2 linked regions of the Drosophila melanogaster genome follow. The protein of the gene in region 2 interacts with the protein of the main gene of each other region in a pairwise test. Each region holds a gene or a part of one and is shown on either strand. Other genes may lie near its edges.

Region 1 (2,937 bases), on a different chromosome or scaffold from region 2:
TTCCATAGATGGACCCGCATCCAAGGGGATGTTGGTGGGGCTAGTTGGTAAAATAGCAACAAAGTTCGCAATCGCGCCGTCGAAACGAGCGTCACGGCCAATGGTGAAACGTTGAACGAGACAAAACTTGGCCAACACACACACTCACATACACACTGGGCAAAAATGGCAAGCAAACTATTAAATGAGGGTGTGAGTGTCGGGGAAGGGGGATTTTCATGGGTCGCACTGCAGTTTGGCATTTTTGTTGACCGGCCAGGACATAAACATGGATCCTGTGTCTGGGCTGCAACTTCTGTGCCGTAGCTGTCTCTCTGTCCCACTCATTGTCCGGTTGTTAGGCCTTTAAATGTCCTGACAGGAATGTTGATGGCAAACTCGGTTATCGATATGTGAACAACGTTGAGGCTATAAATAAATAATGGGCCAGTGTGAAGGACTAAAATGATGTTGGGTTATTCGAGAGGCCACATAAGAATGGCTGACAATTCGAAATAACTTCTAGTAATGGTGAAGCTGTGTCAAAGGATTCTGTATAGACTGTAGACAATTGTATTCCTGTAAAAGAACCAAACTTTGTTTATAACTTTTTGTTTTAAAAATTTGTATATTAAAGCGACGCTTTATGAATAGCAGAAGAGTATCCAATATATATATAATATATAAACAATTTACAAGAATTTTACTTTGCCTTCAACTGGCAAAAAAGGCCAGATATAAAGTTCGTACACGATGTTAGAATATCGGGCACAGCCATGAGACCATCTTTCATTTCCGAAAGAGTGACGAAACGGTATGCCATCAAAAGTGCCACAATAACCAATGTTGGTATGGCCAGAGATACCAGGATGCGAGCCACAACGACAATGGCAAAGCTGATCACTATCAGGGTCAGAAGAACGGCCAAGATGCGTCCCATTTCACCGGGCTTCACTTCACTTTTAGTCCACGCATCCAAACGGTCAAACACGTTTTCACCGAAATCCATTTCTTCGTGTGTGTTGATTTTATCTTGACGTCTAACTTTGAATTTTTTTCGAACTAGAATGAACTTTTCTTTGAAGGCTTTCTGAAAACTGGTGGGACCTAATATATTTCCACAATATTCAAATTTTCAATTGAAAGTATAGTATTTAATGGGTTGGATTTGTTTAAGACTTGAGTTCGAATGAACAAATATAAATGGTTGTCTTCTGTCCGCAAAAACTTAATCATTGGGAAGATATTTGGTAGGGGTGACGTTGGAGGTACAACCACGAACTTATAGCCACATCGGCAGCTGTGAAATCTAAATGGCATTCTTGATGTCAGCGACAGGATATCTCGCCGACTGCCGAACCGTGTCCTGACAACTTGACAAATGAATGATCGGGCCGCAGTCTCGGCACCGCAGAGCGGCCAACCTCAGACAGCAGGCAACAGACGCAGGACAATGGACACAGGACGATGGACACGGGGGCATATGGCGGTCCTGACGCGACGACAAACCGCAAAAAGCGAAACGGCAATCGACCAACAACAGCAACAATAAAGGGCAAAAATGAACCCGACAATTTCGCCGCCACCAGCAACCGCCATTCCAACAATCATGAAAGCACCGAGCACCAAGCACCGAGCACCGATTACCGATCGGCAGGACCGGGAGGTCCTGCAAGTCCTTTGCCGCCTGCCATCGCCGGTCAGTTGGTGTCTGTGCATGAATTCCATCATATGATATCAATTAGTGATAGTGCGGTGCGACTGAAATGTCATTTGCAAAAATGCGCATATTTTAAACGTGACACACGCCGGCGCTCCTTTGGCCCCCCACATCATCCACCCAACCATCAAGCCATCCCATCCATCCAACCAACCATCATCCCATCCAGACACGCCATGATATCTCGCTAACGGAGCGAGAGTTATACGAATGCCCTTTTCAACGCAGGAAGGATTGATTTTGCCAGGTGTTTCTGCATTTTGTTAACTTGTTTCCACTTTAAAAACTTATTCTTATACTATTAAGCATTTAGCATAATTATTTTAAAATTTATATTAATTAAAGAGAATGGATTGAGTTAGGCAACACAACTCATTAAAATAGATTCATAGATTGCATCTTCTGTGAAATAAAACATAATCACTCAATTTATAATTTGATGTTTTTACCTGGTGATGAAGAGCATTAACTAATCGGTTAGCTTGTCCCACCCTAATTGACCGGCTTGAATTCCCTTTTTTGTTCCGCTCGCTGAGACCATAAAAACCAAACAGAAAATGTCCAAACGGACCAAACCTGCTGCCTGGTCAGCCACATAAAAATCAGCTCGCCCGCATCAACTGCATGCCAACAACAATGGGGCGTATGAATATGCAACGAACGCCGCCGATGATGACCACGATGGGGCAAAGGGGAATGGAAAATGCGCCGGGTGGGGGAGGAGGATTCAGTCCAGTCAGACCTGCAACGGATATCCATGCAGGTGCAATCTCAAACAGAACTTACCACAGAAACACACGGGGGATCCGCGGGGGCTTGGTTTCGGGAATTGGGCGAGAAGACATGTCAACGTAACCAGAATACGGATGGCGGAGGCCAATAAAACTGCAGCCAAGTGCAGCTGATGCAACGATTTGGTGGCACACACCATCAGCGCCACCCGCGCCAAACGCAAATTGCATTTTCAGTTTTTTATCTCAGCTGAGACCTTTCAGGGAAATTTAATTTGCTTTTTCGCCGCCGGCCAACAATATGCGGTACGTGAAAATGCCGTCGAGTGCATTGATTGTTGGCTTATTGACACTGCCAATGCGAAATTAATGCCAGCACAAATGCGCAAACTTGCCAAATTGTGCGTTGCCTTTTGTCGTTTATGCGGTTGATAAGATAAGTCACTCTCTCACAATGAATTTAATCTCATACAGTTTGTTTTCAGATTTAAATAACTGCTCACTTTA
Region 2 (3,484 bases):
TGAACCATAATATGATATGAAAAGATATGATATTTACTATACCAATATTTTCGAAATATAAATAGAATAAATAAATAAATACATATATACTACAAAGGTATATATTAGGTATATTTGAAACAAAAATCATATTTTAACGATAACAGATGCAGAAATTGTATGAAAGACAAAAAATAATATTTGGTGAATATTATATTAGCCTGTGGTCAGGCTAAATATAAATGTAAATAAAATTCTTTATTGTTCTTACGGAAGTATTTCCAACTGCCTACCAGCAGCATTTTTGGATTCAAATGGTCTCCAAGCAGGAATGAATGCAGTCACTAATTGGAATGTGTTCACCAGCATAGCGAGTCCAATTTAAAATCCATTCTTCAAATCAGAATTGTACAGAGTAGCCGAATTTAACTATACTTACAATGGTCATTCAATTTGGGATTTTTCTTTTCCAACCTTATTCATATTATTTCATATCAGTTTTCAGAATAAAGAGACATTAGAATTTCCTTTTTTCGATTTATTTATTTCTTATATGATATTAGTGTTTATAGCTAAAGTTTTACATGGAAGACAATGATTCTTAGCCTAATTCTTATACGAAGACCCTAACAAACAAACATGGAAGACAATGATTCGGCTAAGACTAACTTAAGGCTAATAAGACACGATAAATCACAATGAGTTAACGATAGTAACGCTTGATTGTGATAATTGAATATCAATTAGAGTTGTGTTTCCCTTGGGACGCGAGCCCAAAGAATCCAATCTATGCCTAATATCACCCTGAGATTACGAACATGCGAAGCTGAACCCGCATCCATCCGACGACCAATGGACGGAGACACTTGCACTTAAAGCTGCCAATTGGAGTTTTTCCCGGTGCATCGAGAAGTGGAACTGTGCATCCTGGCGATGTTTAGGCCTGAACCCAACGGTCGAACTGCTGGCGCAACTGCTGTTCGTGGTGCTGGCGAGCTCCCTCGGCTGAGGTCCAGAAGAAGGTGCCGCTGGTGGTGCGGGCGAAGTGGACCGGGATGAAGGTCTGCTCCGGATGGACGGGCACGATGCTCTGTTGCTGACCCTGCTGCACGATCATGGCCACGTTGGTGGGGCACTGGCGGAGATCGGTGTACAGTCGCTGCTCCAGCTCCTCGTTGGCCATGTTATCGCAACTGGCCGCCGGATCTTTGCGCATGTCCTCCAGCGAGGCGTTGACTGCATTTTGGTTCTGGATCTCGGCCAGAGTCTTCCGGAGTAGCTGCTTCTTCTTCACCAGTCGCAGAAGGGGTTTGACCAGTTTCCTCAGACTCCGCATGGCCATCGTGTGCTGATCTGATTTCGGCTCCATCACCTTGCTGCTCTCAAACTTGTATTCCCGTGTGATGAACGACATTGTGTTGAGGATTGTTGAGATTTATAATAAAACTTGGGATCTTAGTTGGTTGCACTCGGTTGAGAGTTGGTAGTATTCTGGTTTTCCTGCTGCACGACCGACTCCTTATATACGATTTGCTCTCTTTGGTTTCTCTCGGCGGGGGAGAATTCTCGCACAGAGCGGCGGTTCTCTCGATCGATGGACCCAGCCAATGGGAAGGCAGACTGCCTGCAGGTGGTTGCACAAACAGTGAGAGCGGGAGACAAAAGAGAGCCAAGAGAAAGCGGTCTCGGAATCAGGAGCATGTCCTTACCCTTGAGAAAGCAGGGTATGATGAATTTTTGAGTCTGTGCATAAAAAATAGATTTTACGAAAAATAAGGTTAATATGTTTTTATTGTGTGTATATCTTTTAAGTGTATTTTTTCTAAAAAAAATTATTTATAATAGTAATATTGAAAGGGGCCATATAAGGTTGAATTTAATTGAATTGAATTCATTGAATTTATAATAACTATAGTAATAAGATCATAAACTTGATGAAAAATATCAATATTTAAGGACTCTATTAAAATTAAACTTAAAAGACTAGCAAGAATAAAATGTATCCTAAAATATTTGGTATACAACTAAATTAAAAACTATTTAAAATTAAATAATTAAGATCGGCACAGCCTTACAAAAAAAGTTTTCCTTAACAGCACACTGCTAAATTAAGGTATGTAGGAAGTACATCGGTAAAATTACAATAAATACAAAGAGATCGTTGTATATTTAACAATTATTTAGTATTTTACTAATGGTATTTATTTTTTGGAACATAGCATACCATACTAAGTCATTTACTTTAAAATTTCATATGTTTCCCACGTGATTCAAATGCTGGGTATTACCCACTCGAGTTGCTCATTCACTGCAGGTTTTTAACGGATTTTTTGACAGTCGCATAGATCTCGGTCGGTTCTCGATCTTTCGCCCCCTCTGAGAGTACCATGCCTCACAACCTCTCTTTACCTGCTCGACTCTGTCGCAAGAAAAGTAGAAGTCCCTAAATCCCAAACGTAAAATTCCAGGAGAGTACCGAGCGGACAAGTCGAAACTTGTTGAAAAAATTCCATAACAGAGTGTGAGGGAAGAGAGATTTTAAAATTCGACACACTATCCGAAAAAAGACGGAGGATATGGACAAACAATGGATTGGCATATCTCGGAGATACAATCTCGCCGCTGGAAATACCCAAACGGACAAGGGACTTGTCCGTTATTTCATTGAGACAGCCCAGAAAGTGCCCCTAAGTCCTTCCGTCCGATCGTCCTTTTCCTATTTTCCCAACCTGTAGGTAGTTGAGCAAAGTAACGTATTTTTCGGGTACTTGGCATTGCGATGGAATGGGATGGGATCGGACTCTCAAGGTTAGTCAATATGCATTAATGCCGCATTTCGGGAAATCTCGGCAGGTCCTTTTCAGCTCCTTCCGATCGCATTTGTTTGTCATTGTTGTTCTTTCCCGGTTCGAGGGACCTGCTCTGTTGATGCGTGAAAAATTTTCGACGCGGGAGAAGCACGTACAGATAGGGATCTTCAGAGTTTTGGTTTTTGGCTCGGTTTACGCATTTTAGTGGAATTTCGTCGGCACTTCGTTTATGAGTCGCCTTCCTAATTGTTATGGGCCCTTTTCCCTTGCCCCCGAAGGTTACTTTCATAATTTTGTAACGGCTCCGAGGACTCGAGTTTCTTGTAACGGTCGTTTCGTTCCTTTGGCTATCCTTACGGTCATTAAGAGGGTCCCTAATTGGCCCCCGTCTGATTGCTGTGCCCCGCATTACGCAGAGCTTCTTTGTTTTAAGGTTCTCCCTTTTGCAATGGAAACCTGTTTATTATTTTGCGCAATTCGGTGGGGTGCATTATATCAATTTCAATCGCAGTGAAGCAGAGTCGAGGGGTTAAATTGGGGTCTACACTTGCCTGGCTGTTGATTGTCAGAAGACGTGACCTGATTTGACCCTCTCCACACTTTACACATATCGTTAACCATTCGGTTTTCGTTTTCGGCTTATAAAGGGAAGGCGTGGCAGGTTGATGTTATGTAAATTTTTGAAACGGTTCCAC

Evidence for each region.
Region 1: the proteins of Tom (region 2) and CG12784 interact in a two-hybrid assay, tested with the Drosophila melanogaster proteins (one large-scale study listed by BioGRID).

What each region holds. Positions count from the first base shown.
Region 1 is NT_033777.3:15,761,220-15,764,156, reverse strand, and holds CG12784 (uncharacterized protein), read right to left. Parts: upstream 1,043-2,937; 5' UTR 989-1,042; coding exon 683-988; 3' UTR 606-682; downstream 1-605.
Region 2 is NT_037436.4:14,967,336-14,970,819, reverse strand, and holds Tom (twin of m4), read right to left. Parts: upstream 1,477-3,484; 5' UTR 1,394-1,476; coding exon 917-1,393; 3' UTR 514-916; downstream 1-513.